Saccharomyces cerevisiae S288C: one gene and its partners. Changing the gene in region 3 together with the main gene of any one other region gives a genetic interaction. Each region holds a gene or a part of one and is shown on either strand. Other genes may lie near its edges. The genes, in order: LEU4, MRX11 and FRE1.

The links.
Region 1: mutations in FRE1 (region 3) and LEU4 together harm fitness more than expected from each alone (negative genetic interaction), as found in Saccharomyces cerevisiae (2 studies listed by BioGRID).
Region 2: mutations in FRE1 (region 3) and MRX11 together harm fitness more than expected from each alone (negative genetic interaction), as found in Saccharomyces cerevisiae (2 studies listed by BioGRID).

Annotation. Positions count from the first base shown.
Region 1 is NC_001146.8:421,912-432,913, forward strand, and holds LEU4 (2-isopropylmalate synthase LEU4), read right to left. Parts: upstream 4,844-11,002; coding exon 2,984-4,843; downstream 1-2,983. Other genes in the region: phosphatidylinositol-3-/phosphoinositide 5-phosphatase INP52, read right to left, coding at 1-2,584; MET4 (Met4p), read left to right, coding at 5,824-7,842; DNA-directed DNA polymerase alpha catalytic subunit POL1, read left to right, coding at 8,176-11,002. UniProt on the Saccharomyces cerevisiae protein: Catalyzes the condensation of the acetyl group of acetyl-CoA with 3-methyl-2-oxobutanoate (2-oxoisovalerate) to form 3-carboxy-3-hydroxy-4-methylpentanoate (2-isopropylmalate).
Region 2 is NC_001148.4:470,432-480,741, forward strand, and holds MRX11 (Mrx11p), read right to left. Parts: upstream 5,311-10,310; coding exon 4,687-5,310; downstream 1-4,686. Other genes in the region: mRNA-binding ribosome biosynthesis protein NOP4, read left to right, coding at 1-1,565; cyclin-dependent serine/threonine protein kinase SSN3, read right to left, coding at 2,609-4,276; isoleucine--tRNA ligase ISM1, read right to left, coding at 5,562-8,570; YPL039W (uncharacterized protein), read left to right, coding at 8,794-9,744; YPL038W-A (uncharacterized protein), read left to right, coding at 9,751-9,942; MET31 (Met31p), read left to right, coding at 10,104-10,310. UniProt on the Saccharomyces cerevisiae protein: Component of MIOREX complexes, large expressome-like assemblies of ribosomes with factors involved in all the steps of post-transcriptional gene expression.
Region 3 is NC_001144.5:566,567-577,568, reverse strand, and holds FRE1 (ferric/cupric-chelate reductase), read right to left. Parts: upstream 9,003-11,002; coding exon 6,942-9,002; downstream 1-6,941. Other genes in the region: CCC1 (Ccc1p), read right to left, coding at 1-744; MSC3 (Msc3p), read right to left, coding at 1,232-3,418; COA4 (Coa4p), read left to right, coding at 3,651-4,103; peptidylprolyl isomerase CPR6, read left to right, coding at 4,358-5,473; cell proliferation protein CDC123, read left to right, coding at 5,711-6,793; CRR1 (putative glycosylase), read left to right, coding at 9,647-10,915.

The DNA of each region.
Region 1 (11,002 bases), on a different chromosome or scaffold from region 3:
ATGGATGCAGGTTTTCACCTTTATATATGATTCTATCAGTCCAAGACGGAGTTCTCGCCTTTTCAGAAGTATCATAATTATCTGTGCCATAATCATATTTATAGGTCGGACGGAATTGGAGGGTCGGTTCTTTAAAGCCCTGAAATACCACTCCTTCATTTATTTCTTGAGTCAACTGATCATATTGAAGCAATCTATCAATATAGCCATCCTTTTGAGCCCTTAATTCTCTTCTAACTTCATCATTTGTCAAAGTTATCCTGTAGTTAAGGTCACCCAACCAAAACAACGAATCATGGTGTGGAATTGTCTTTGATCTTGGAAAGGTTATGTTCCTGTAGATATTGTTGTAGTCATTGCGACGTTCGTCAATGTTACTCGCACCTGCTGATAAATGTGTATTAACGAAACAGAATGAAGTTGCCCCATAATCGAATCTAATGGCTACTGCACCTTTGTTTCCAGTAATACCACCAAACCCAGTCTTTTTGGTAGACCCACCTACCTCTTTTATGTTATAGGCTCTATCTGATCTTGCAAAAAATAGTATCAAAAGAGAGGACATCTGTTCCACTCTAAGTAAAAGATATTTTTCTTCGTATTGATTCAAACAGTCAGTAACCATAGTTTCCCAAAAAGAACTTTTCGTATAATCTGCATTCAAGATAGACCCTGCGGTCAACTCTATAACTTCCTGCAACCCTAACACAACGACATCAGGTTTGAATTTATCGCCGATTGGAAATAACCATTTTGACAAATCTGCTCTTCGAGAGTTTCCGTTAACATTGAATGTACCGACAAACAAATTTATGTTAGAATGAGTGGTGAATTTTTCCTCTGACTCTAACAGCCTTTCATTGACGTATTCGCAGATTGGATCATAAAGTTCAACAACTTGCTGGTGCGGTAGTTTGCCCAAAAGTGTGTCAATATTTTGCTGTTTTCCTTTATCTACAAAATTGTTGATGTACATTCTACTAACGGACTTCGTCGCATCAGAAAGGGCGCCAGAAAAAGACATTTTACCTTTCCTTGAATAGGACGATTTCAGAGCATTTGTCCCAGTGTAAATTTGTGATATCTGATCTCCGTTGTCGGCCCATAAAGCATTCACCTTTTGCACAAATTCATTATCGTCGATGAAACTACTGGGTTTTACCAATCGGAAGTCTTCCAAAAATAGTTTGAAAACGGCCAGTGAAATCGTCTGTTGGATCAAATTTGTTCTATCTAAACAATCCAAGCAATTGGTTCTAAAGACACCGTCTTGTTCGGATATTAATCGCCCTTCTTTTACATCGTATGAAAAGTAACCGGCGTCCAAAATTGTGTTTCTTATTTTAGGGATAATCCTACTTGCAGCTGCAAACCCATCTTGCGAAGTTTCTCTATGGAAATCAAAGCTTGTTAGGAACACATCTCTACCGATTTTCATTTTCTCAGAATTTTTCAACTGTTCCTTGTATCGCCTCGATAATTGAATTTCTGAAGATTTAGTAGACAGCAGGTTGATTATATGAACTGGCCCATACTTCTTAAATAGTCTTATAAAATGTTCATCAAACGTGGGCTGTGTTGCTTCAACAGATCTGGTAATTTGAATCTTTGGACTAATCAAAGATGTATCCTGCTCCCAAAAAATTGGAAGGCTTCCTCTTATCTGCGTGAAAGCATAACAATACTGAGAAGAGTACATAATCATTTCTGTTTCAACAAAATTTGCGACATGGCCATCATCATCTATACCACGTGCATTAAACCTTGTGCCTGCTCTTTTCCAACTTTGCCTGGAAATAATGGTAAGTCCTACTTTCAACCTATTAATATAGCTAAAAATTGTTTCAGCAAACCCTCGGATTACGGTCGTGAGGAATCCTCGTTGATCCAATAGTTCTTTGGCCGTTACATCTAGTCTGTCTCTGTATGTGATGATTTCGTCCATAAGAAACGAGTTCCACATAAACTCCCGGTCAAAATCATCAAAACTCAAAGAGTGTTCCGTGAATCCACGTTTCTGCAATGTACAAGTTAAATCAAAATCGGTGCTGTAATAAAAAGATCCATTTGATAATAGCTTTCTTAGTTCATGACATGGATGCTTGGGAGCTTGTTCTTGAGCATTCAAACTCCTAGAGGAAGAAGAACGTAGCGATGATCTAGAAGAATGTGTGGAAATACTAGGAGGCGAGCTTATTGCAAAATCTCCATCATTAGTAACAATCGGATAACCGGATGAATCGATGTCCATGAAATCCCATTTAGAATTATTTAAGCAAAAAAAATCCACAGCATATATTTTGTTAACCGTTTTGTTTGGGATCGGCTGGGCCACCTTAGATTTACCTGTTATGGTTGCTATGAACATAAGGCCTTCAATTTCTATGAGACCAATAAAACCGTATATTTCATGGTTAGATAGTCTTCTGAAACCATTACCATTTAATTCAGCTTTCGGAACCAATTCCACGGCACATGTAGATCTGCGAGAGTTCTTACTGTTTATTGGCCTAAATACCAGTCCATGTGTTTCTGAAACTATTGCTATCTTTCTAGTTTGCTGTTTCGATAGGAGTATTTTCATAGCTACTGAGTATTTGTTTTTGATTCTGCTGCCTTTGCGTGGCCTTTGTCACCAATTCTGCGAACAAAAATATGTTGAGACTATATGAAGCGAGTACTTATTGTCCTTTATGCCTAGTTTTCCAGTTAAATCTCTCTTAATAACTCCAGGTTTGTTTCAATTTCGTCACTAACCGCCAAACAAGTTTCGGGTCACCCCACACGTATTTGGTTCAAGAATATACTAAAAAAAGAAAAACAAGCACTAGCCCTAGATATGGAAAAAAAGATATTAAAACGTAATTCTAATTTAGACATCCGTGCTTCTAGTAATTATATGGTTAAAAAAAAAGGAAAGGAAGTAAATAAATAAGTATAGAAATAAATAGAAGCGAATAAGTCCTGAAATACAGAAAAGTTCTTATGCAGAGCCAGATGCCGCAGCATTCTTACCTTCGACCTCGGCCAAAGATGGAATGGACACATCACCAGAATGGATAATATTGTTAATGGTGGCAAAGATGGCTCTCACTGAAGAATCACCGACATCTTCGGAGACACCTACACCCCATTTGTAGGCCTTTTCGTTGTCGGCATTACGCCTATACGATAGATGGATGTAAGAAGCAGCTTGCGTAGAAGAACCAGAACCTAGAGAATGCTCTGTGTAGTTTGCTACGGCAAATCTCACGTTCAACAAGTTTGATAGGGCGTCGACCAAAGAAGAGATTGGACCATTACCTGTACCTTCAATATCGACGATCTGGTCGCCTACTTTGACTTGACCAGTGAACACTCTACGTTCAGTGCCGAATTTTTCAACATTATAATTGACTAAACTAATAGCTTGGTACTGTTCGTCATTGTAGTTGTAAGCCTCTTTGAATAACTTGGAAATCTCATCTGATTTTAGTTCTCTACCCAAGGAGTCAGCATGGTCTTGAACGGCGCTAGAAAATTCGATTTGCATGTTTCTTGGTAGATCCAAACCCAAAGATCTCAAAATAACCCAAGCGGCACCACCTTTACCAGACTGAGAGTTGACTCTGATGACAGCTTCGTAATCACGGCCAATGTCCTTTGGATCCAATGGCAAGTATGGGATTCTCCATTGAGTTTCACCTTGAGCACGCTTCTTGTTTTGTAAGTTGAAACCCTTCTTAATGGCGTCTTGGTGAGAACCGGAAAAGGCACAAACGACCAAGTCACCGCCGTATGGTGCTCTTTGCGATACTGGGATCTTATTACAACGCTCAACCACATCTAGGACAGAGGTCAAGTCAGAGAAATCCAAATTAGGAGAAACACCTTGGGTATACATATTCATAGCAACAGTAACCAAGTCCACATTACCTGTACGTTCACCATTACCAAAGAGACATCCTTCTACACGGTCGGCACCTGCAAGCATACCTAACTCTGTGGCGGCGACACCGCAACCACGGTCATTGTGACAATGTGTAGAGATGCAAACCTTCTCACGCTCAGTAATATGGGTAGCGAAGTATTCAATCTGATCAGCATAAACATTTGGAGAGGCAACTTCTACGGTAGCAGGTAAGTTGAAAATGATTGGATTTTCCTCGGTAGGTTCCCAAGCCTTCTTAACAGCTTCGCAAATTTCTACAGCAAATTCACCTGGAGTATCACTGAAACATTCGGGGGAAAACTCATAGGACCAACGAGTGGCTTGTTGGGAAGGGTCATCCTTAGTTAGTTTCCTAACTAGTTTGGTGGCCTCTACTGCCTTGGAAATAGCTTCCTCTCTAGACATATTAAAAACAATTTCACGGAACATATCACTTGTTGCCAAGTAAGTATGTATAGTAGCCTTTTTAGCACCTGTTAATGCTTCCACCGTTCTCTTAATCAAGTGTTCTCTAGATTGGACAAGACATTGAATACTAACATCGTCTGGGGCGTTTTCTACAGCATATCTAGTGAAGTCGAAATCTGTTTGAGATGCAGAGGGGAAGGAAACCTCGATTTCTTTGAACCCAATATTGACCAGCTTGTGAAAGTATTCTTTCTTTTGTTCCACTGACATGGGATCCGGCAGAGATTGGTTACCATCTCTCAAATCTGTTGATAACCAACGAGGAGCCCTCGTGATCCGGTTATCCGGCCACTTTCTATTAGATAGCTTTGGAGCGTTAAATGGCTTGTACTTGGAGGAAGGGTCCTTAAGCATATTTTTATAGGCTAGCTTCACTGGAGGAATAACTCTTGAGGCTCTGGAGGCCGCATGCTCAGCAAGAGCAATAATACTCTCTTTAACCATGATTGTTCCTTGTCTTTTTGTAAGGAAAAAGTCTACAGTAAACTTCTAGTGTGAGAATCCTTTTTTTTCTTCAAAAAATACCCTTTGAAAGAACTGAGTCACTTACACGTAAGTTTCTTTTTACTGGTCAAGTTGAAAAATAACCAATAAATGATTATGGAAAGAACGTTGAAAGAGGAGAGAGGCTGACCCAAGAGGAGAAAACATCGAACCTACGCGACTCCATAGCGCACATCTCCCATGCGCCCGTGCTTATATATATATAAATATACATACACACATACATGCACGCACATACATGCACGCGCATGACAGTGACTGGCCGTTACTGTACAATTTTTTCAGCCAAGTATGACACACATTCAACTCAGCTTTTCTGAGGCCTTCTTTCTTTTCCTGCGCGTCGGTAGAGCGATGACTAACCTACTACTGTCTCAGAGCCGGTCCCGCTCCGGTAGCAATCCTGGGGCTGGTCATAACAGCCGAGTGGAAGTGTCAAAGCGGAGAACAGAAGCATAAGCTCAATCGCTGGACATACGGATGCTTATATACGTCTTATTGTCGTTGAAAAATATCGAATTTTTTACTTCATTTATCGAGGCTTCTTCGAGCACTTTTCCGCTATGGCTTTTTCCCCGTTTCCTTTTAATCACGTGCGCGGGTAGCACCCGGCACACAGCTGGTGTCTCGTCGCACATGCTATTGTGTGTCATCGGGCCACACAAGCATATTGCTTGAATTTTCTTTCATCGTTCAACTTAAATCCACCCAATCTAGATGTAGCCGTAGCATGTAATAACGTATATCCTTGTTTACATGCATCTGTGCCAGGTGAAACGGTCTGTTTGAACGCACATCATTTCATATATTAGTCAACTCCTGAAGGTCTTCTTGCCTGTCCGTCAACTGTTTAGACAGACTCTCGTCAATAAAGCGCACTTCTGATAAGCACTTTTATTCCTTTTTTTCCACTGTGAACGATGAAGCAGGAGCAGTCCCACGAAGGCGACTCATACAGCACGGAATTCATAAATCTCTTTGGCAAAGATACCGCAACACACCCTAGCAGCAACAACGGTGCTAATAATAATGGCATGGGGAGCACGAACTCGTTGGACCAGTTTGTGGCAACAGCCTCATCGTCATCTTCTCTGGTGACCAGCAGCGAGAATAGGCGCCCCCTAATAGGTGACGTTACCAATAGGGGCAACACTAACCTATATGACCACGCTGTCACGCCAGAAATACTCTTAGAACAGTTGGCCTACGTGGATAACTTCATACCATCTCTGGATAACGAGTTCTCTAATGTGGATTGGAATGTGAATACCACCCATAATAATGCAAACAATAATGGCGCGGACACTTTCAGCAGCATAAATGCAAATCCTTTTGACTTGGATGAACAACTAGCCATTGAGTTGAGTGCGTTTGCCGACGATTCTTTCATCTTCCCAGACGAGGATAAGCCGAGCAATAACAATAACAACAGCAATAATGGTAATGACGACCATAGCAACCACGACGTATTGCATGAGGACCCTTCTACCAATAATAGACAAAGAAATCCTCACTTCTTGACTCAAAGAAGGAATACTTTCCTAACTTCCCAATACGACCAATCAAAGTCTCGATTTTCGTCCAAAAACAAAAGAAATGGCAATAACGGCGAAACAAACAACTTTGGCGACAATATGCAAAATAACCATCCTTTTGAGCCAAACTTTATGGGAAGCCCTTCTCAGTTTCCCGCTGACGCAACTAATATGACATCAATCGACCATGGCGGCTTCACAAATGTTGACATTACATCAACTGAGAACAATACTACCGGTGACAATGGAGTGGATGCGCTATCAAATCTACTACATAGGACAACACACACACCGAACCGCTCCTCCCCCCTAAGCAATGTCACTTCTGCTCAAAATTCCTCTTCACAACAACGAAAACATTCGGAAAGCAAAGTCGATAGTAACAGCGATAATAACAGCTCCAACAAAGCCCCCAATATAACTGTTCCTGACTATTCAATTATACCAACCTCTGTTTTAGTAACTCTATTACCGAGGGTCAACGTGCCCAACGGCGCATATAACTCGTTGATCAGCGCGGGATTTGACAATGATCAAATAGATGCTATAGCCGCAATAATGGCGTATCATCATCAAAAAAAGATTAGGGAAAATAACAGTAATAATAATAAAAACATCAACACCAATGACAGTCAAGAGGCACCCATTCTAAAAAACATCAACGAACTTTTAAGTGTCTTAATACCACCCTCTCCGGCTGAAACTGCTGCGCCAACTACCTTATCAACGTCGCCTTCGTTCAATGAGCACGGTGTAGTAGCAGAGGCTTCTTTTCTAAGCTCCATTTTGGAACTGGGCATAAAGCATCCAAAAAGTAATAATATTCACAATCAACGACAACCTTCACGAAACGATCATAAAATATCAAGAGAGAGTGACGGTAACAATGGAAACGATAATGTCCATCATAATAACGCTGTTATTAAGTCAAGTACGACGCGTGGAGACGAAATTGCCAAGATACGATCCGAGCCAACTTTAAATGCAAGTTCTTCTGATCACAAGGAAAATAGTTTAAAAAGATCACACTCCGGAGATTTGAAAAATAAAAAAGTACCCGTCGACCGCAAGTATTCTGATAATGAAGACGATGAATATGACGATGCAGATTTACACGGCTTTGAAAAGAAGCAACTGATCAAGAAAGAGTTAGGGGACGACGATGAAGATTTATTGATACAGTCGAAAAAATCTCATCAAAAAAAAAAACTAAAGGAAAAGGAGTTAGAATCATCGATACATGAACTGACCGAAATTGCAGCATCCTTACAAAAACGGATACATACGTTAGAAACGGAAAACAAGCTTTTAAAGAATTTAGTTCTGAGTAGCGGTGAAACGGAAGGAATAAAAAAAGCTGAAAGCTTAAAGAAGCAAATTTTTGAGAAGGTTCAGAAAGAATAAAATAACAGACTATACAGTTTAATTATATATATATATATATATACGTGCATTTTTCTTAAAGAAATATAACTTTTTTCTTGTACTGCCTGCAATCTCTATTCTTCATTCATCACACATCTATTCAAACGCGTTAAAATTTTTTTGTTAGCCTATAAGTAAAACGCGTCGCGTGTATCCAATTTTACTGAATTAAATTCTTTACTCATTGGATGATATATATCTTCTTGGTCTAGACAACGAACACATACCAATTCAGACTCACGAGAAAAAAAACTGTCTTCACTCTGCTATTAGAAACCAAATAGTATCAAGGCATAAAATAAACAGTGGAAAATGTCTTCTAAAAGTGAAAAATTAGAAAAATTGAGAAAGCTGCAAGCCGCTCGAAATGGTACATCCATCGATGATTACGAAGGTGACGAATCAGATGGTGACAGAATATACGACGAAATCGACGAAAAAGAATACAGGGCCAGAAAGCGCCAGGAATTGCTGCATGACGATTTTGTTGTAGATGACGATGGTGTAGGCTACGTCGATCGTGGTGTCGAAGAAGATTGGAGGGAAGTTGATAACAGTTCAAGTGATGAAGACACTGGAAACCTTGCTAGCAAGGATTCTAAAAGGAAGAAGAATATAAAAAGGGAGAAAGACCACCAGATTACAGATATGCTGCGAACTCAACATTCCAAATCAACACTGCTAGCACATGCAAAAAAATCCCAAAAAAAAAGTATCCCCATCGATAATTTTGATGACATTCTTGGTGAGTTTGAATCTGGTGAAGTAGAAAAACCCAATATTTTACTGCCATCCAAATTAAGGGAAAATTTAAATTCTTCGCCGACTAGTGAATTTAAATCGTCAATAAAGAGAGTTAACGGAAACGATGAGTCAAGTCATGATGCCGGTATTTCTAAAAAAGTCAAGATTGATCCAGATTCAAGTACTGATAAATATTTAGAAATCGAATCATCACCGTTAAAATTACAAAGCAGGAAACTGCGCTACGCAAATGATGTACAGGATTTATTGGATGATGTGGAAAATTCCCCAGTAGTAGCCACAAAGAGACAGAATGTACTTCAAGATACGTTACTAGCAAATCCACCATCCGCTCAAAGTTTGGCTGATGAAGAAGATGATGAAGATAGTGATGAAGATATTATTCTGAAAAGAAGAACTATGAGAAGTGTGACAACAACTAGACGCGTGAATATAGACTCAAGAAGTAACCCTTCAACTTCACCGTTTGTCACAGCACCCGGAACGCCAATCGGTATTAAAGGACTAACTCCAAGTAAATCTTTGCAGAGCAACACCGATGTTGCTACACTTGCGGTTAATGTCAAAAAGGAAGATGTGGTAGATCCGGAAACTGATACTTTCCAAATGTTTTGGTTGGATTACTGTGAAGTGAACAACACTTTGATTTTATTTGGTAAGGTTAAACTAAAGGATGATAATTGTGTGTCAGCCATGGTTCAAATCAACGGTCTCTGTAGAGAGCTATTTTTCCTTCCAAGAGAGGGTAAAACACCTACCGATATACACGAGGAAATAATTCCGTTACTGATGGATAAATATGGACTGGATAATATCCGCGCTAAACCTCAAAAAATGAAATATTCGTTTGAGCTTCCTGACATTCCATCTGAAAGTGATTATTTGAAAGTCTTACTTCCATACCAAACACCGAAGTCCAGTCGAGACACCATTCCATCGGATTTATCTAGCGATACCTTTTATCATGTTTTTGGTGGGAATTCCAATATTTTTGAAAGTTTTGTTATTCAAAATAGGATTATGGGACCATGCTGGTTAGATATAAAGGGAGCAGATTTCAATTCAATTCGTAATGCTTCTCACTGTGCGGTTGAAGTTTCGGTAGATAAGCCTCAGAATATCACGCCTACTACAACAAAGACAATGCCTAATCTGAGATGTCTATCTTTATCGATTCAGACGTTAATGAATCCCAAGGAAAATAAGCAAGAGATTGTTTCGATAACGTTATCAGCATATAGAAATATCTCGTTGGATTCACCGATACCTGAAAATATAAAACCAGACGACTTGTGTACTTTAGTAAGGCCGCCTCAGTCAACTAGTTTCCCATTAGGTTTAGCTGCACTGGCAAAACAGAAACTACCCGGTAGAGTCAGGTTGTTCAACAACGAAAAGGCCATGCTATCTTGTTTTTGTGCTATGTTAAAAGTGGAAGACCCAGATGTTATCATAGGCCATCGTTTGCAAAATGTCTACTTAGATGTTTTAGCTCATAGAATGCATGATCTCAACATTCCAACGTTCAGCTCTATTGGCCGTCGTTTAAGAAGGACTTGGCCTGAAAAATTCGGTAGAGGAAATTCGAATATGAACCATTTTTTTATTAGTGACATTTGCTCTGGTAGGCTGATATGTGATATCGCCAATGAAATGGGTCAATCATTAACACCCAAATGTCAAAGTTGGGATCTTTCAGAGATGTATCAAGTTACATGTGAAAAGGAGCATAAGCCGTTAGATATTGATTATCAAAATCCACAATACCAAAATGATGTAAATAGTATGACAATGGCCCTACAAGAGAATATTACTAATTGTATGATTTCTGCTGAGGTGTCTTATAGAATTCAATTATTAACCTTGACTAAACAGTTGACAAATTTGGCTGGTAATGCATGGGCCCAAACGCTAGGCGGTACAAGAGCTGGTAGAAATGAGTATATCTTACTACATGAATTTTCAAGAAATGGTTTTATTGTTCCTGACAAAGAAGGCAATAGAAGTAGAGCTCAGAAACAAAGACAAAATGAAGAAAATGCTGATGCACCAGTTAATTCTAAAAAGGCAAAATATCAGGGTGGTTTAGTTTTTGAACCTGAGAAAGGTCTTCATAAGAATTACGTTTTAGTCATGGACTTTAATTCTTTGTATCCATCTATTATCCAGGAATTTAATATATGTTTTACCACCGTTGATAGAAATAAGGAAGATATCGATGAGTTACCAAGCGTACCTCCTTCAGAGGTGGATCAGGGTGTTTTACCAAGGTTATTAGCTAATCTGGTGGATCGTCGACGTGAAGTTAAGAAGGTGATGAAAACTGAAACTGATCCCCATAAGCGAGTTCAATGTGATATTCGTCAACAAGCTC
Region 2 (10,310 bases), on a different chromosome or scaffold from region 3:
AAAAGATCTTTGGTAGATATGGTACCGTCGTGGAGGCTACCATTCCAAGGAAGCGTGATGGTAAATTGTGTGGATTTGCGTTTGTTACTATGAAGAAAATCAGTAATTGTAGAATTGCTTTGGAAAACACCAAAGACTTGAAAATTGATGGTAGAAAGGTGGCTGTTGATTTTGCTGTTCAAAAAAACAGATGGGAAGATTACAAAAAAGCCCAGCCAGAAATGAATGACAAAGATGATAACGAGTCAGGAAATGAAGATGCTGAAGAAAACCATGACGACGAAGAAGATGAAAATGAAGAGGAAGATAGACAAGTAGATCAAGCTTCAAAAAACAAAGAATCGAAACGTAAAGCACAAAACAAAAGGGAAGATTTTTCTGTTTTTGTTCGTAACGTCCCTTATGATGCCACTGAAGAATCTTTGGCTCCGCACTTCAGTAAATTTGGCAGCGTTAAATACGCATTACCTGTTATCGATAAGTCTACGGGGTTGGCTAAAGGTACGGCCTTTGTAGCCTTCAAAGACCAATATACATATAACGAGTGTATCAAAAATGCGCCTGCGGCTGGCTCTACCTCTTTATTGATAGGTGATGATGTCATGCCTGAGTATGTGTATGAAGGTCGTGTTCTGTCCATTACTCCAACGTTAGTAAGAGAGGATGCTGGAAGAATGGCAGAAAAGAACGCCGCCAAAAGAAAGGAGGCCCTAGGTAAAGCGCCAGGCGAAAAAGATAGACGTAACTTATATTTGCTGAATGAAGGTAGAGTTGTTGAAGGCTCAAAAATGGCTGATTTGTTAACCAACACTGACATGGAGATCAGAGAAAAATCTTACAAATTAAGAGTGGAGCAACTGAAAAAGAACCCATCTTTGCATTTGTCGATGACTAGGTTGGCTATCAGAAATCTTCCTAGAGCAATGAATGATAAAGCATTAAAGGCGTTAGCTCGTAAAGCTGTCGTGGAATTTGCTACAGAAGTTAAAAATAAGGAAAGACATCCATTGAGTAAAGAAGAGATTATCAGATCTACAAAGGAAAAATACAAGTTCATGGGTCCAGATGAGATTGAAGCTCAAAAAAAGAAAGACAAAAAAAGTGGTGTTGTCAAGCAAGCAAAAGTTATAATGGAAGTTAAAGGATCAACTGCGGGAAGAAGTAGAGGTTACGGTTTTGTAGAATTCAGAGATCATAAAAACGCTTTGATGGGCTTAAGGTGGTTGAATTGTCATGCCGTTACCTCCGATGAAATTTTAGAGGGTTTGAATGATGATGAAAAGAAACAAGTAGACAATGACTTAGGCAAAGGAAGACGTCTTTGTGTTGAATTTGCGATTGAGAACTCTAACGTCGTAAAGAGAAGAAGGGAACAATTGAAGCAAGCAAGAACCAAGAGAACAAGACCAGATAATGAAGATACTGGAGATGTCGGAGAATCCGAGAATAAGAAGCCAAAAAAAGAAGAAGCAACGACGCCCACCAATCCCGATGACAAAAAGATGGGCGATGATATAAAGAGAATAATCGGGTTCAAGCGTAAGAGAAAGCACGCAAAAAAATAGAGGTAGAACCATATTTATAGGAATTTCGATTTGTATTCTCTTTACGTATGTACATTATTTTTCAAAGAGTAGATAGATGAATCTCTAACGTACTCGAAAGCTTTTATGTCGTTATTTTAGTACTGTTTTACGAGAAGCGCGAGAAACTCTCTACATATACTGTCCAGCATCTCAGTAAATCATACTGAAACCTTATTACCAGTATCGCTCCTAGACGTTCCGTTTGAAGTAATAGGCAAGACGAGAATTATTTATTTCCCATGATATACATAATGGTTATAAGTAGACCGCAAATAAAAGTATGTAAAATTAGCTATGTTTCTACATTGTTTGTGCAATGACTTTTAGGTTCGGCTGGTCATTAATAACTAGGTGATGCTGAATTCACGTATCTTATTAGATACATTTAGAATTCATGACTTCTCCTTTGTATGAGCGTGTCCCTCCTTTTCTTGATGGTTTCAGCCCTTCTACATACTACACAATGTACTTTGTTAACCGATGATAACTCTACTTTATACGTAGTTTAGACTTTGAACGGGATGAACTGGTTGTTTCATCCAATGTTTTCGTAAAGTCATTCTTTTTTATGGAAAATGTACAAAGTTGTTTATATTTTTTGCTATGGTTATTAACCTGAATACCATTAACAGATGTGTTATAATGGGAACATATTACTATTGCCGATAAGTTACGAACAAACCTACTACTACCATTATATAAAAATTAAGGGGGGTACTTGAAGTCTTTTCTTTCTTCTTTTTTGGGAATGCATGAGATATTCATATGTTTTAAAGCCCCATTAGTTGAGATGAATTATGACGAAATTCGCATACATCTGCGGAGAACAGGGTTTTAGCTCGACCTAAAATCAACCCATTATTTTACCTGAATGTTGCAGACTTGCATTCTTAGTGCCTCTAAAGCGAAAAATTGAAACTGTATGCCGATTTAAATACTATAAAGATAAAAAAAAGTTTAATGAATATAATAGTGACAGTGCTGTGGAATGAAAAATTCCAAATATATATAAAAATAGAAGCCTATCTTCTGTTTTTCTTTCGAGATGGCTCATCTGATGCATTGTTTCCTGACACCGCAGCAGCGGCTGCTGCTGCCGCGGCCAGAATTCTACGGTTAACACCAAGCCCACCTAACGCATTTGCAGCGGCACCTGCGGTGATTCCTGAAGCTTGTGTATTGTTTTTCGTTCTTGATCCAAGATTCATGATGTCATTATCGTTCGTGTGAATTCTTCTTGCCGGGTATTTGTAAGTTAGACCTTCAAATACATTTTCACTAACAGGAATATCACTTTCTGTGAAGTACTTATGTTCCAACGCATTAAATGCATCTATTCTTTTAATTGGATCATAATTTAACAAGTGGTAAAGTAAGCTTAAAGCATGCTTGTCCCTTCCTCCCGCGGAATGATACCATGTAGCAAGGTTATCCCTATACTTTGGAAACTTCGTAATTTGATCATATTCTGGATACTTCTCCAAATAAGGCCAAATTTTTTGATCGGGAGTGCCAAGAACTTCCAAAATTCTCTGTAGTTGATTCACTTGAAATGGAACAGTCTTTTTAGAGTCTAGTTTAGCTTCTTCACCTTTAAATATGGGCTGTAATCCTATCAGTTCTGCAAAAATGCAGCCAACGGACCATAAATCAACCGCAGGGGTATAGTGCCGTGCTCCCAATAGCAACTCAGGTGCACGGTACCATATAGTGACAACCACTTTATCCCCAGTATAGAGGGTTTGCAGCATATTATGAAATTTTCTGGCCAAACCTAAATCACCAATTTTAACACATCCATCTATGGTCACCATTATATTTGCGGGTTTCAAATCTCGATGAAGCACCCAATTTTGATGAAGATACGATACGCCGTCTAAAAGCTGCCACATAATAGACCGAACCATTCTTGGTGGTATCATCCTTTTTTCGGGATGGGAATGGAAGTGGATAATTTGTAGCAGATCATGCTCCGCATATTCGTATACCATATGGACACATTTCCTTTCCAAAAAAATTTCCACTAATGTGGTTAAATGCTTGTTGTGCAATTCTCGACATAATGCCATTTCTCTACAGGCACTCTGAGATATTCCCGTATAATGCAATTGTTCGACGCCATCCTTCTCTGTCTTGAACTTTTTAATGGCATAAAATACCGTCAGCGGTTTTTTAATGAGGGTTTGTTTTTGGGAATTATAGTGCGGGGATACATCTTCCCTCGTAGTTCGTATTCTTCCGGGGGTCACTCCTTCATCCTTTAACAAGTTTCTTCTTAATGCGTTTGTATTTGCCTGCATGTCCATTGAAGAGCTTGATTTTGGTTGCGTGCTGTCAAACTGCGGAATTTTCGCATTGGTACCATTCAGACTAGAACCATTAGCGGAATTGGTACCGGAGTTGATTTGTCTTTTCGCTTTGTAAACTTTACCATATGTGCCCGCAGCAATGTAGCCAATAACTTCGTACTTTTCTAAGACAGATACCCGCATTCTATCTTTTCTTGCCCTATAAGGTCCAATAGTAAAAACATCATTATTGGCCATTAGCATCGGGGCTTTTCCATGCACACTTCCGATTGTGTTTTTCTTTCCAACGAACGATTGAGCTTGCTGTTGTCCTTGTACCTGCATAGGCCTTTGGTACATTGGCTGATAGGAGTTTTGTGCTCTATCCTTGCCATTATACATTTCTCTCTCCTCCCGTCAAAACTAGGCGGCCTTAATTCAATTGGGAAGCAAAATTACTAACTTCAGTATACCCTTCCGCCTTTTTTCTTTCCTATAAACCTTTCTTGTATCCTTTTTGTCAGCAGTGATTGTGGGATAACTTTCAAGTATTGAAGCGGGAAAATGAAACGCAACTTAAGCCACACCACGTAATTCTTGAAGACTTTTGATGTATGATATTTATTTCACTGTTAAAAAAAGCTATAATTTCCTCTAATCAAAACTCTCTAAAACGAAATCAAAAATATTCGTAACACATATATAACGAAGTACAATATATTGGGAATCTATAAATCATATGCCGAGTGCGCAACTTCAACTGAAAACAATAATCCGTCTCTGGGCCAGAAAAAAAAAAGGAAAAAAAAGCTTTATTTCTTAATAAGGTGCTTTAATTTTTGAAAGGGAAGAAGCAACCATTTCCCAAAATATGGTGCTCCCCAGATACTAATGAAAATGCGTACCGGATATAGTAATTTTACTGTAACGTAGGCTACTGTGCCAGATAAAATCAACTTGTTTTTGTTGAGGCATTCCTGATATCTCTTACCAACAAATTTCTCCATAGCTGTATGACAGCTATCCATTAGGCCATTTAAGAAGTTTGGGAGCTTAAAATCATCAGAAAGATCGAGGTTATAAAGTAACCACCATAGTAGAAACAGTGGTAGTATGGCAGTTACCTCATGCAAGATGAAGAATGATGTAAGTGTTGGAACCGTGCCGGCCTCACTGAGGCGGTCGAAATAGTGTGAAAATTTAGGATTCTTGTTTAACCTTGTTAAAAGTCGTGACTTGGAAAATATTTTACGTAGTCTATCCTCCCTTCTTTTCACTGGATCTAAATTTCCCGATATGAATCTAATTTGGGTTGATCCGCCGGGCCTGGTGTTCATAAACGTGGTCAATTGCGTTGGCCTTTTAAGCATGAGCTCCAACGGTCCAGAGCCCATCTGCAGTTGACAGGGCCTGAAGAAAAGATTCATGACAGTCATGTTCCTGGTGAGGGTGCCTTGGGTGTAACACTTATCCTTACACGGTCTCTCAAAAGCAATATTTTTACATTTCTCTTCTTTGCTTCCTGTTCGTATAACGCGCTGAGAGCTGGTAAGAACAATAGGCCGAGGCCCTGCATCAAAATGTCAGTAGGGGACCTGTTAGGTACCCACTAATAAGTACAAGAGGGTTTTTATTTTCTAAGAGCCAATAATTGGCATTCTTTATATACAGGAAAGGTACATGTCATTCAAGACATGAGATGATCCACAGCTTCTTTACATCTGTCACACAATTTATCCTCTTCGGCTGAGTTGGCCTTCCAACATCTGGGACAGTTGTGCCTTTTGCTTCGTTCAACCAATATTTGAACGTTTATTCCGCTTCCCAATTCAATAGTTGGTAGACTGTTATTATTATCGTCCATTTGCAATATATCAACAGCAGATGATTGCAATATGTCGCAAAGCTCGTCAGAACTGAATGGGAGGTGATGCTTGGTGAAAATGGTAACGTGACTATGTGTTGTTTTGGTGACACCTTCTTCTAGACTTAACCTCTTGAATTCCTCCTGGAACTGTTTTAGAATTTTTAGTTCAAAGTTTTCAAAGGAGGTGACGATTTCCGTATTTGAGTCCAAAAACGGCCATTTTCCACGCATCGGATTAATGTCTATATGTTCTTGTCCTTGTAACCATCCTTCTGGTATATACTTCCATACTTCTTGGACCATAACGGGTAATATTGGTGCAAGAATTGCCCTATATGCATTTAGTATATGGACAAGCGTTGTTTGGACCTGCCTTCTTGCCAATGACGATATTTGGTTGGAATATAAAATATCCTTTGAGATATCAAAATAAAACGCCGATAGCTCGTTATTTAAATGATATTGTAGAGTAATGAGAACCTTGGAAAAGTTGTACTTTTGGTAGTGTTCTCTCGTCGTTTCCAGCAGTTCGTTTATCTTATACAAGGTATATTGATCAACACGGCGTAATTGTTCAATCGGCAAAAGGTTGAAATCTTGGGACTTCTGTAAATTACTCAATAAATAGCGAAAAGTTAGTCTAACCTTTTTTAGAGCTTCTCCTACATGTTTCATCACAGTCGGGCCAGCAACTATATCAGTTGTGAAATTCGATTGTGCTATCAGATACCTCAAGCCATCAACACCCAAAGCTGGTAAGCCTAAGTTTTCATCGCCTCGAATTATTGCTTCGGGAGAAATTGTATTTCCCACAGATTTTGACATTTTCAGACCATTCTCATCTAGGGTAAAACCATGAGTAATCACTTCTTCATATGGTGCAACAGGGACATTACTTGATGCTACTTTTGTTAGCAGTGAACTTTGAAACCATCCTCTATGTTGATCAGATCCTTCTAGACAAACTTGGTACAGGGGGGATGGGAGTTTTGACAACTTTAAGCTTTTTTCATAAAAGTCTTTGATCACACTCCATGACGACCCACTATCAAACCACACATCCATAGTATCTTGAGAACGACAGTATTCATGCGCTACGTCGTGATATTTTTCTGGCAACCATTCTTTCATGTCATTATCTTTATCGTTAAACCATGCATTAATTCCTTTTTGTTTGATTTTTTCTATGGCATGTGCCAAAATTTCTGAATTCATCAAAACAGAATCCGGTTCGCTCTTCTTGTAAAAGCTTAATATAGGGATACCCCATGAGCGTTGCCTAGATATGCACCATTCATTTCTGCTTTTCATAAAGGATGAAAGTCTTGAATAGCCTCTTTTAGGACAAAACTTGACGCGGCTGATGCTTTCCAGAGCCAAGTTTTTTACATCGTGTAAATCTGCAAACCACTGTGGAGTAGCTCTTATTATGACAGGTTTCTTGGATCTCCAGTCGTACGGATAAGAATGCGTGTATTCGTGAGATTTGTAAAGTAAATTAAGGTCGCTTAACTTACATAGAATGATTTTCGCGGTTTCGGCATCCAATACTTGCCTACCTTTTGTTAAGTCTCCTTCATCTCTCACGATGGATCTGACGGACTGAGGAAGTTCATTTAATTGGTAGCGGCCCTGGTGATCCACGGGAGAATAAATTTCAAGACCATTTTGAATACCAATGAGATAGTCATCCTGTCCATGCCCTGGTGCTGTATGAACCAATCCAGTCCCTGTACCGCTGGTAACGTGTGCACCATGTAATAAGGGCCTGCCAACCTTATCGTCTACTAAGAGGTTTTGATAATATAGCCCATTTAGATGAGTTCCTTGAAACTGTTTGATAGTCTCAAATGAGTTAGTTGTTAGGCCCAATTTATCAATGGAGCCGGTCTCTACAAGGATAAGTTCACTATTTAAGCGTAATAGGGAGTAGGAAAAATCCTGATTGAAACAGATTGCTCGATTAGAGAGAAGAGTCCATGGAGTACTGGTCCAAATCAAACAGTATATAGGCAAGTTATTCGTTATTCCTAGTTTTTTGCACAGATCCATCTGGGATTTCTTTTCAAGAGGAAATTTAACATAAGCAGCGATGGATTTATGGTTTTCATTATATTCTAATTCGCCCTCTGCTAACGCTGTTCTAGTTTCTGTACCCCAGTAAACCGGTTTGTTCTGTCTCTTAATCAGTCCTCTTTCGTACATTTCTTTAAAAATATTTAGCTGATTAATTTCATAGTCTTTATCCATTGTTAGGTATGGTGTTTCCCAGTCCGTTAAGATGGCAAAATGTTGGAAAGTTTCCCTTTGCCTCTTGATTGCCTTTTGTGCATGTTTTAAAGCCATTGACCTGATTTTTAAAGGCGATATTGACTCGATCTGTTGCGCGCTTAAATCTTTCAAAGCTTTAATCTCGATGGGTAGTCCATGACAATCCCAGCCAGGCTTATAAAAAATGTACTTCCCCTGTGAAAGTTGATATCTGTTTATGATATCTTTCAGAATTTTATTTAGAGCATGACCGAGATGGAGCTCGCCGTTGGCATAGGGCGGTCCATCATGTAAGATGAACAACTTTTCTTTAATGAACTCTAATTTTTCATCAGTCGTATTAAGCTTTGAAAATTCTTCGAAGAAATCACGTAGCTGCTCCTTGTAAACTAACTGCGAAGATTTTGGTATTAATTCCCTCAATGTAATCTCTAAGTTTGATCTATTAGGGAATTTGGTCTTGGGCAAGTTTAATGTTTTTTGGTAGGCATGTTTGGCGAGATATCGCTTGCTAATAATGCTAAAGATATGTTGAGGCACAAGCCTGGAGCGCTTCATAAGTAGCTAAAGATCGTTCTTAGTATACTGTGTTCCATAACTTCTAGCCTTGGTCCTTTATATTTGCTGTTTTTCTGCGTTTCTTAACTCGCTTGCGGAAAAAGAATCGACATTTTCAGAACAGGATTTTATTGTTTTTAAAGTACATTATATGGGGCGACACATCATCGCCATCTATGTTAAATATTTAAAGAATACGGGGTAGAATTATTCACGCTGGGGGATGCTGAAAGAGGAGTATAATTTGAGCGGTGCTGATAACATGGCATCTGCTGAGTTGTCATTTAAAAAGCAAAAAGTGGTATTGAAAAAGTTCATGATAGCGCAAGTGACTAAGGGGATTATGCAGCGGTATGCGAGCCTATTAGTTACCATGCCTAGTGATGATGACAATGCAATTATTGGCACAAATCATTTGAAAACAACCAAATTTTTAGAAATAATCCTACACAGAGCCAAATCATCGCATTTACAGTTCAAAAAGGTCTGTTGCATTGTCATCAAGTTTCTAGATTGCTGCTCGAAGGAAACTAACTACATGAAGTTTTTAAAGTTCAGCTTACACAAACTATTTGTAGCTGCTTTCATCTTAAGTGTGCCAAATGTTGTAGGCGATGACCGCGACAGGATTACCACGAGGGATGAAACCTATCATCTCTATTCCCAGATAACAGGCTTGCCACTGGAAGAAGTGATAAATTGTTGTTCTATTGTGAGGCCTGTACTTATTCGGCGGAGTAGACAACAACGCAGGCAAATGTTATCTCGACGTGAACAACATTCGTACTTCCTCAGAAGTTCTTTTATGAACTCCAATTCATCAGCATCACCTTTTTTCTCTACCAATAGGTCAGCTGATGATCTACATGTACATACAAGGGCATACTCGCTTCATAGCCATTCCGATGGGGAAGGCCAAGATAGGCGGTCGGAACATGAAGAAACGCATAGCATGGGGGCTGATGCCGATACATATCGACAAACTACGTTTATCCCAGACACACCAAATGGTTTGCATTCTAGATCATTAATTGAGTGTGGGATCGAACCCACCCAAGTAAGTGACTCTGGTGAATGGTCGGGTCAAAGTAACGGATATGTTTTGGTGACAGAATTACAGGAGTTTAACAAAATGGGTAAAAAGTTAGTACAAGAAGCTTTTAGGATAGTTTAATAAAGTATGGTTTGTCGTTTTGTTCATCATTCAAGGGTCATTTTTATTTCCATTTATGATTTCTTGAGTACAAAAGGCAAAAAAAACATGTATAATTATACACAAGAAAAAAAAACAAAACAAAAGAACACTTTCACACAAGCAAGTATATATTATGAGAATTTTTTCGAGTCTTACAGAACCATATCTTGCCTCTAAATTTTAGTCTAAAAATTTTGCTAGCCCATCAATTTTTTTTTTGTTCTAATGCAAAATATAACATGGGTAAGAAAAAGAAAAAGCCGTTCCTCAGTACGTAAAGAGATTTGATCATTAACAAGTTGGGCTCAATATACACAGTCGATAGTCTATATGTGCATATGAAACTGGCGCAAGACATGAATGTAGATGAAATATTTCTCAAACAAGCGGCAGAAGCTATAGCGGTAATCTCATCAAGTCCCACTCATACGGACCCCATAATACGAGAGCTACTCCACAGAATTCGACAATCCAGCCCATTGAGCGCAGTTATACCAGCACCAGAAAATGTTTTAAAGGCTGGGGAGCCGGAAAATATGGCTAGA
Region 3 (11,002 bases):
TAGCCCACCAAGTAGATAACCGCCACCGATAGTGACTGCACTGATTAGTTCTCTATTCTCGGCAGGTTCGTCTAGACCCCTACCGTACCTGATAATGAAGTCAACCATTAGCTCAGGTGTTCTTTGTAAATCTTTGATGAACGAAACGATTGTTTCGTCCGAGAAATTAGGGTTAATCTCTAACAGAATGTCTTCAATTTCTCTGTTAATTAGGTTGGAGTTATCGTAAAATTTCCTTTTCTCCTTCTTTACTTCAGCATGATAATAATCAGATTCACTCTTCGCTCCCAAATAGCCACCAAGGCCCATAGAAATCGCACCTGAGATCAACTCAGCAAAGCCACCGGTAATGACCAATTTCGCATCACCAAGTGAAGATAGACCAGCTGTTAGAGCAAAGGGGACGGTTAAACCGTCGCTTAGCCCGATAATCAAATCGCTAATTACGCGAGGATCTACTGATTGGAAGAACCCTAGGTTCGCCTTTTCGTTATCCGAACCGTTATCGCCATTCCTATTATCTTTCCCTACTGACATCGGTGAGTTTTCTAGATCCTGCGCTGAATTTCTACCATAGATAATATCCGAGCTAGATGAGGATAAGTTATCATGCCTTGAACTATTGCTATTACTACCCCTCAACAAGGGAGTTGATTCAGACCCCCCCAACTCTGAGGTTCCACCACTACCTTTCGCTTTCTGTATAAGGGTCACCACTGCGTTCTTTAGTGCTACAATGGACATAATATTTGTGTGCACGAGATATGGGAGGACAAAAAAAAAGTTTCTTTGTTCAATATACCAATAAAAAAAAAGAGTCTAAAGGCTTCGTTCTGTTATATTTCTATTCTATAAACCTAAAAAAAGCAAAAATTGAGAGTGATGTCGCTTTAACTTGATTATTTGAACTATTTTGTTTTGTATCAATTTTTCATATATAATCTTAATTTTACATCTTCATTGTGAGACATTCGGGCTAACAAAGAAAACAAAAAATGCGGGTCACGAAAGGGGTACCGAGCCAATGAGAAGAGGGTATGTTAGTAATATTAGTGAGAAATGCGGCGCGATTGGTCCAGACCGAAAAAAATCAATATTATTAAACTGTAAAAGTTATATTAAAAATTAAGTTACATTAGTAATTGAAGTTCACAAGAAGAAAAAGAAGAGAATAAATCTAAAACCAGGCTTCAAAAATTAGGGTTGATTGCAAAATTCGAGTAAACAACTGCTAACGGCTGCTTTTTTTCTTGAACAGTTTAGTGAAGAAACTGGACTTCTTGTGCTTCGTGGGAGGATCTTGTGTTTGAGCCTGTATTGTCTTAGTGGCATGTGTCGAAGTGACCATTGTTGGCTCAGCGGCAGATAATTCATTCGTCGATGATGTTGTTGGATCCGTGGCGTCTTCCTGACGCTGAGGGGTTTGGTCCTGTAAAAGCGAAGAAGAAGACTTTAGATTATCCTGCAGTTCCGGTGATCTTGTTCTCGTTGTTGAAGCTACTGCGGAGGTAGGTACATTGCCCTGACTTTGCCCATTCGAGGACGCAGTAGTCGAGTCTATTTGTTGTTGAAGGGGTGAAGGTGAATCTGTAACTACTGGATTCGTCATCACACCTTCGTTTGAAGATGGCTTTGCGGTTGTCACACCTTCCGAAATAGACGCTGCTGGGAAGCTTTCTTCAGCATTACGAGTAACTGGAGTTTGTTCGCCTTGTTCCTTCTTGTGCTGGTAGCCGTAGTTTTCTTGAGAGAATTGCAGCACTTTATCGAACATGGTTTTGAACTTATTTTTGGAAGAACCAGTTGTTTTTGTCTTCTGCAATGGAATGGGCTCGTATTCATGCACTTCGCTTTGGACTGGAATTTCAGAATCCCCTAAATAGTGCTGCTCATTGGGCGGGATGCTCCCAGTGGATCCCAGATGGCTAACGCCGACCTGACGAGGTTTAGCCGCCGTAGTGCTATTATCGACTGCTTCAGGTTGAATACCATGTGAGTTGTAATACCTCGCTTGTGCGATTTTCAAAGCTTGGTCATACATTTCTTTATCTGTTAGCCCTGTGTTTGCACTTTTAGGCTCTGGAACTGGGTCAACAGCCTTATTCGATTTAAAATGTGTAGACACAGAGTGATTGTGCACTTCATGGGGGGCGCTTTTAGTATTTCTGCTGAAGAAGGAACTTGTAAATCTTTTTGGTTGAACCTCGACATTAGATTTGACAAGATTAGCAGTCGCCGTCGGAGAATCACTACTGCTTCTCAAGGTCATTTTTTGACCCATCCTACTTTTCCTGGATTTGTTACTCCCGAGGGGGGCCGATGCGTTATCCGAAGCAGCATCCGTGTGATAAACGTTTCTTTTAGCAACCTCTAGTGCCTTCAGATACATTTCTGCTTCGGTTAATGGTTTCTTGGCCTCTGCTTCTGCGTTTTTCACGGCAGGCGGTCTTTTCTTCCTTCTTGTCGTCGATGCTTGCTTCCTTTTATTATGAATATATTTACTACTGGTCTGATGGGTGGGAGGAATATAATCTAATGCGTCACTGAAGTTTGATAAACTACTTTCTTCTTCTAGAGGCATAACGTCTGTAGAATACTTATGGTGGAAATATGATCCAAGTGGGAAATCTGGTTTTTCCACGTTTAGCTCTGAATCATCTTGTAAATGACTTTCGCTTACTGGGGAATATGGCTTTTCGTTATCTGTTTCGTTTTCCTCGATTATATCGTGAATGTTATCACTAGCTTGTTCCTCTAAAATGTCGTCATCTTGCAACATGTAATTTTCACTAAATTCATCGAAATGACGCTGCGAGTCACCTAATGGAACCAAATTCTTAGTCGTAGTCGTGGTTTCTACGTATTCATACCCATTTATTTTTCTTATTGTCTTTTTGGTAATTGATTGAGTCCTTCCTGAAGGGTCTGTTACTTGTGTAGTCTTTACGGTAATGGAGTTGGCCCTTGAATCGTTATTGTTGCCGGCCGTCGATTTGTTCTTACCGTAGTTTCTTCTGACATTCGCACCAGACGTCATAGAATTCATACGGCTCCCATTAGTAGTATAACCGGGCGGGTGTAAATGGTACTCTCCGCTCCTTTGCGACCTCAACGAGTAAGTCTTCTGTGAATACTGCTTAGCTGCTGCCCTGGACGTTGGCGGAGCGGCAGAGGATGTGGAAAGCCTTCTTCCTGGGCTCTTTACCGAACTTCTTTGTCTCGGTATTGAAGGTGCATGACTAACCAGCGAGTGCGACCTTGAGTAATTGGTTCGATCCGGTGATGCGGCAGAAGCAGCAGAGGCAGCAGCAGCAGAGAGCTGAGGACTTTTGTTATAATCTTCATGGTTCTGATAGTAGTAATCATACCTAGATAAATCAGGTACCCTCCTGTCCCTCTTTGTAAAACCAAATACCATTTTCAACTTTCTTGATCAACAGAATGTCTTTGTTTGTTTATTCTAGTGAAAAAATAGAAGTAAAAAGCAATCAATATAAGCAACGTGAAACGATCGAAGGAAACTAAAAGAGGTTTGATGTTAGAAGAATTGATTAACACCAAATCAAGCAATTTATTGAAGTATGGGTCCCTGATGTTTGTCCTTCTCGTTCTTGCTTTCCCTCCCCTCTTCTCATCCATTCGCTTCATTTATGCTTTTATTTTCTTCTTTTTTTTCTCACAACAAATGTCCGAAACAAAAAAAGGGGCCTCAGCCATTAAAGGTAGTGAAAGGCACTTCTAAGAGTTGCGCCAAACAAGGGAAGATTAAAGGGAAAGAAAAGCTCTGGCAGGCTAAAACTGGCAGACTGGTCATGAGTGAAACTGGCGAAACTTCAGAGTATTATAAGCAGGCGCTGGAAGAATACAAAGAGGTCCAAGAAGACGAAGACCCGGATGTGTGGGACACGAGAATATCCAAGACCGGATGCTACGTAGAGAACCTCGCATTACAGCTGTGCCATGCCGAAACAGGTGACTGGAGGCAGTGCTTCAACGAGATGGCGTTATTTAGGAAGTGTTGGGAAAAGAATGGTAATAGAGAGCGCGTAAGCACAGTGGACGTGGATGGGACGACCAGTAAGGATTCGGAAAAGAAGAAATGAAAATCTAAATGTCGTGATGTATAACTTGTATATAATAGACAGCTGCAGTGATCGAAACACATTGTTTCCCTTTATAGAACATAACTGTTACGCTTTTGAACGGCATTTCTATGAGCTTCTAGAATATTTTTCCGCCCTAGCTGGAGAAAGTTCAGACAGAAAATTATTTAAATAAGTCGAATATCAGAGGTGCTGATGCGCTCACATCACATAGAAAACTGGTAAGACAATATTCAGGCGATCAAGGAGTAAAAATGACTAGACCTAAAACTTTTTTTGATATTTCTATTGGAGGTAAACCCCAAGGCCGTATAGTTTTTGAGTTGTACAATGACATAGTGCCTAAAACGGCTGAAAATTTTTTGAAGTTGTGTGAAGGAAATGCTGGTATGGCAAAGACTAAACCTGATGTACCATTGTCGTACAAGGGTTCCATTTTCCACAGAGTGATCAAAGACTTCATGTGTCAATTTGGTGATTTTACCAATTTTAATGGTACTGGCGGTGAGAGCATATACGATGAAAAATTCGAGGATGAAAATTTCACTGTTAAACATGATAAACCATTCCTTCTATCCATGGCCAACGCCGGTCCAAATACCAATGGATCTCAAGCTTTCATAACCTGTGTTCCTACACCTCATTTGGACGGGAAGCACGTTGTGTTTGGTGAAGTGATTCAAGGTAAAAGAATTGTTCGTTTGATTGAAAACCAACAATGTGACCAAGAAAACAACAAGCCATTGCGTGATGTAAAGATTGATGACTGTGGCGTGTTACCTGACGATTATCAAGTGCCAGAGAATGCCGAAGCTACACCAACAGATGAGTACGGCGATAATTATGAAGATGTTTTAAAACAAGACGAAAAAGTTGACTTGAAGAATTTCGACACCGTCTTGAAAGCTATCGAAACGGTAAAGAACATTGGTACTGAACAGTTCAAGAAACAGAACTATTCCGTGGCTTTAGAAAAATATGTCAAATGTGATAAATTCTTGAAAGAGTATTTCCCAGAAGATTTGGAGAAGGAACAAATTGAAAAAATCAATCAATTGAAAGTGTCTATTCCATTGAATATTGCCATCTGTGCTCTTAAATTAAAAGATTACAAGCAAGTATTAGTAGCCTCATCGGAGGTGTTATATGCCGAAGCGGCTGACGAAAAAGCCAAGGCCAAAGCTTTGTACCGTCGTGGCCTGGCCTATTACCATGTTAATGACACAGATATGGCTCTCAATGACCTAGAAATGGCCACTACTTTCCAGCCAAATGACGCTGCCATTTTGAAAGCTATTCATAATACTAAATTAAAAAGAAAGCAACAAAACGAAAAAGCTAAAAAGTCTCTTTCGAAGATGTTCTCCTGATTACTTGCATTATATATATGCTTATATGTTTAAATACTAAACAGTTGCGCTGCCTCAGTAGTTAAGTAAAAAGTACGTAGAAAACTCTGTTAAAAAAATTATTTTTTCAGGCATAATAAGCGGATATTTTCCGATGTCCATTTATGCAGTGGGAAGATTAAGAAGCTAATGATACCGTAACTCCACCAGTGAAACTAAAACGTGCGTCCAAAAAGCGCTGACATAAATTACTTATTGATGTCCTCACAAGAATATACAACTTTTATAGATATACCAGTGACAAGAGCGCAGGTTGAACACTGTTCTTACTCGTTTTGGTCCTCACTGTATCCCAAATATGTGCCAAAATCCATAGTGTTAAAATCCTTACCGAAAAAATTTATTCAATATTTGGAACAAGACGGTATCAAGCTACCCCAAGAGGAAAACTCCAGGTCTGTGTACACCGAGGAAATAATAAGAAATGAAGATAATGACTATAGTGATTGGGAGGACGATGAGGATACCGCCACCGAATTTGTCCAAGAAGTTGAGCCATTGATAGATTTTCCAGAATTACACCAGAAATTAAAGGATGCTTTGAACGAATTAGGTGCAGTGGCTCCCAAGTTAAACTGGTCTGCACCAAGAGACGCTACCTGGATTTTGCCGAATAACACTATGAAGTGTAACGAGGTAAATGAGCTTTACCTATTGTTGAACGCATCCAATTACATAATGCATGACCTTCAAAGAGCATTTAAAGGCTGCGTGGACGGGGATGATATAAAAGGATTGAAATTTGACTTGGTACTTAGACAATGGTGTGATATGAATCCGGCACTCGAATTTAGGGTCTTCGTTAAGAATGCGCATATCGTTGGGGCCACCCAGCGTGATTTAAATTATTATGACTATTTAGATGAGTTGTCAGATACCTTCAAGGACCTTATTGATGAAATAGTTCATGATGTCGTCCTGCCCAAGTTTCCTGATAAAAGTTTCGTTCTTGACGTTTATATTCCAAGACCTTTCAATAAAATCTTCATTGTTGATATAAATCCGTTTGCCAGGAAGACAGATTCTTTGCTATTTTCATGGAACGAGATTGCTGCGATAGCACCTCCGAAGAATGATGTTGAAGATTATGAATTAAGGTTAGTGACGAGGCATAACACGGGGAGATTCGCTTCAAAAGAGCACTCCGAAAATCATGTTCCACAGGATCTCGTAGAAGCTAGTTTAAATCCTGAAGCAATCCGAGAGCTCACTCAAAAATGGAAAGAACTACTCTCTCAACAGGCAAAGGAAGAAAGCAGTGATAGTGAGAATGAAACTTAGATTTAGAACCCGCATTTGAATATATTCGTCTTTTTATTACCCTGTTGTATGATTATATAAAATTATTTACATCGATTTATATTAACTTTTATCCGATAAAGCAACAAAATAACAAAAGTATGCGTGCAAGAATTATTAACAAGGGGCCTTACCATGTAAAACTTTCTTCTTCTAGTTCAACGTCAATCTTCAAGGAAGAGTCTATACCTTGGACCACTGCATTTCTAAAATCGTCGTTAAACGTTGCTGGCCCGCAGGAATAAAAGGTAATATTATTATTCTCTAGTTCTGAGAGTTTTATTTCCGAGCGCACTAGTTCTTTCAAATCAGGTCTTTTATTGAGACATTCAACAGTGATTTCGCTTTCTTCTTTATCATCAAAACCTTTTGTACTCTCATCTGAATTTGTGTCCTCAACACTGGAACCAGTATATATGACTGAGACTTCACAACTTTTCTCCTTTAACCATTGCAATTCATTTTCAAACCATTTCAAATGGGATAGGTCATTAACAATCCAGTAAAATTTATGCTGAAGTTGATCAGTAGATGGTAACCGTAAACATTCGACAAAGTGCGGATAAATAGCCGCAACACCCAAACCAGCGGCTACACCTACCAGATTTCTTTTTAGCTTAGCGATATGTGGAACCGTTACACCATATGGGCCTTCAAGGAATATTTTACAATCAACAGTATGATTTGGAGCACTTAGAACTTTCGATAACAAAACTCGAGTGATACCTTTATTTGCCTTTACGTACATCGTCAATTGATCTGGATTGTTTGGATCACGGTGTCGTTCCGATAATACTGTAAATGGATGTGATTGGAAACTATAGAACCATGCACTTTTTGGTGATAAGAAATACATGTATGCGAAAGCTCCTACTTGGTACTTGAAAAACTTTGGTTTTTTTACTGAAATTTTAATAACATTAGAATCATCAGTGGTACTCAAAGTAGCAGTTTTCAAGCCACCATTCATGATTATTCTAACAATCCTGCAGAATCTATCAAAGCATAAAATACCAGCCATTGACCAAATCCAACCCATCCAGCCCAGGGTGTGACAATGGTAGTACATGGCAATAATGAACATAATATTCATCGCTTTATGAATAAGAAGGAATATCTCATACCCTCTATTTCTAAATACTTTTTCACTTTGGAAAATAATAATAGACATTAATATCGTTGCCACTATACCCCACCTAAAGTAAAATTTCCTAACCAGACTTTGAAACACACCTCTTTTCACTCCCGAGGCGGTCATGACAATTGAGTGTACAACGGCCAACATGAAACAAACGTAGGCAGACCATTTATGATAGAAATTAAATGTAGAAAAGGAAAGCCCTGTTATAGGGATGAAGGGATTATTTCTTATTCCGAATAGATAGACTACTGGGAAAAGTGCAATGGCCATCAAGTCTGCTCTACGACTCACAAAGGCCATACTTCTTCTCCATCTGGGCCTATCATATGGGTGTGGAAGTTTAATATTATGACCAAAACTGAGAGATAATATAGTCAAAATAACAAAAATTAATACGACGAGACCCTTGCCTCGAGTTGTAAAATTAAATGGTAGACGCTTCCATAAATAAAAAGTTCGTTCATTATAATCTTTGTAAACAGAAGGATAAATAAGTGATTTTTTGACGGAGTTTGCCATGATGTTCTTACCAAACACCCTTTTCAGAATGTTCAAGATAGTGGCTGCAGTAAGCACAGCCACCCAGAAGAAGACGAGACCCCAAGCGCACCATTGAGAGCGCATTAGGTTAAGATGGATACCATAATTTTCCTCATAATAATAATGATACGCTGTCTCGTTCGCCATGAGCGGTTGACTAACCACGGTTTTTTTATCACTTTTCTCAGGTGCTCTCAAATAATTTGACGCATTTAAATAAATATTCTTCATGTCCTCTAAAGTATAAACTTTGATGCTTGAACATTGGGATGCTAACTTCATTAAGGCGCTGTCTAGTGTTTTGTTAGATTTGGAATTCTCATAGGCACATGCTGTCACTGAACCCAGCCAATTGATGTTTTTACAGTAGCAACTTTTAGATTTACTAGAACATCCAAATTGGTATAGCGCAGCTTGGGAAATACATGAAGTGCTAATAAGTGTAGCACTCGATTGAACCGTAGCAAAAAAAGATATAAATAAGCAGAATAATACACGGGTTCTAACCATATTGATCCGGCTCGTTCTTCCGTCGGCGTGAATATGCGAGAAATTAGATGATTATATTACCTTCCAAAAGGGAACTGAAGCATGGAAGAGAGCAAACGACTTCAAAACTGAGATTTTTACATGATTTAAGTATCCATCGCTGTAGATTAATCATCGCAAGATCAGGCACTTTAAGTTCCTTGAGAGAACGATCTAGCCTTGAGGATATTAGAAATTGGGTGTATTAGTAAATCAAAGTCGAGCCGCTATAACAATTTTCGATGAGCAAAAAAAAAAGGTGAGCAAAAATATCGGCGAAAATGTTTGGGTTGGGAGTAGATTCTCACCAAGATTGCCACAGTTAGTGTTCTTGGCAATTGCTGCAAACCCGTCAAGCAACCTAAATACATTTTTATCGGGTATTCTTCAACTATTGTACCGCTCTTTACTGTCAATTGCATCTGCCGTACTTTTCATTTACTTCTTATGTGCTCGTTCTACTATACTTTTAAAGGCGTCACAAAAATTATGTAAAGCCTCGCGACGATCATGTAGGAAAAAAAAAAAAAAGACAATACCAGCTAATAATTATCGATTAATAACGAAATACAAGAACAGTCGTTTAGTTTAGAGTATCATCAAGGGCTTTTGCACGAAATAAAAATATGAGAATATCAATATTACAGCTGGTGCCGGTTGTTGGCTACATCGGATTTGCACTGGGAGAATTATACAAACCCAAAAACTCCATTTCTTGTTCTCCAAATAACCCTTGTCCCGCAGAATGGCCGTGCTGCTCGCCGTATAATGAATGTGGCGCTGGACCGATATGTGTCGGTGGCTGCAACGTGAGGTCATCTTTCGACGAGGAAAGCTGTGCTCCTATACCTGCATTAGTCGCCAGTCAAAAACTTGAATTTGTTAGCACACCAAAGGTTCCTAAATTTATTGTGAACTATCAACCTAAGCCACCAATAAGAGAGGGAAATGGACCGAATAAGGCAAATACCAAGGTGGGTGTAGTAGAAGGGGAGCTAAATTCCAAGAGAATCATACACTACGCCAAATTCTTGGTCACTCCAGACAGTAAAGAGGCAGAGAAAATGTTGGAAGATTTCGATTTCACACATAGCGGCTACACATCAATTGAAGCGAGTAGCGGGAATATTGTTCTGGCTATGCCAAAAAAAACTACCGGAAGTTTGATCACATCGACCAGGTCGTTTCTATACGGCAAGGCAAGCGTGCGAATGAAAACGGCGAGGTCGAGGGGTGTGGTGACTGCATTTGACTTAACATCCGCAATTGGGGACGAGATTGATTTTGAGTGGCTGGGTGGTGATTTAATGACGGCCCAATCAAACTACTATTCTCAAGGGCATTTGGATTACACAAGAATGCAAAGATTTCCCGTAGGCGCTGACACTTGGGCCACTTACCACACTTATGAGATTGATTGGGACCCGGATAGGATAATATGGTATGTTGATGGTAAAATAGCTCGCACAGTCCTGAAGAAGGATACCTGGGACCCCATTAGTAAAGAATATAGGTACCCACAAACGCCGATGAGACTAGAAATCGCTGTTTGGCCAGGCGGCTCGGAAACCAACGGACCCGGTACAATAAACTGGGCAGGTGGCCTCATAGATTGGGAAAATTCACCCGATATTATCGAAAAGGGCCAATTTACGGCGCATGTTGAACAAATCACCGTAACGCCGTACCAAAATAAATTCACAGAACAAGTGCAGTTTTGTATAAAGGCAAAGAAAAAGGCACCAACCTTTTCCCAAAAAGATTTGTCAAGAGTAGTCGTTTCGTATAACAGGCAAGACAGACTGAATCATCATGATGAGGGGTCTCTCAAATGGGACTGCTTTGTTACTCCAAAGATAAATGACTGGTTGAGTTCTTGGAAACGGTCAAAATAGTCACAGCAATAATGTCTTACGAAGTTCTCTCTTCCGTAACGGATCCTCTAATTCCCTGCATGAAGGCACGCTCTAATATATATGTAT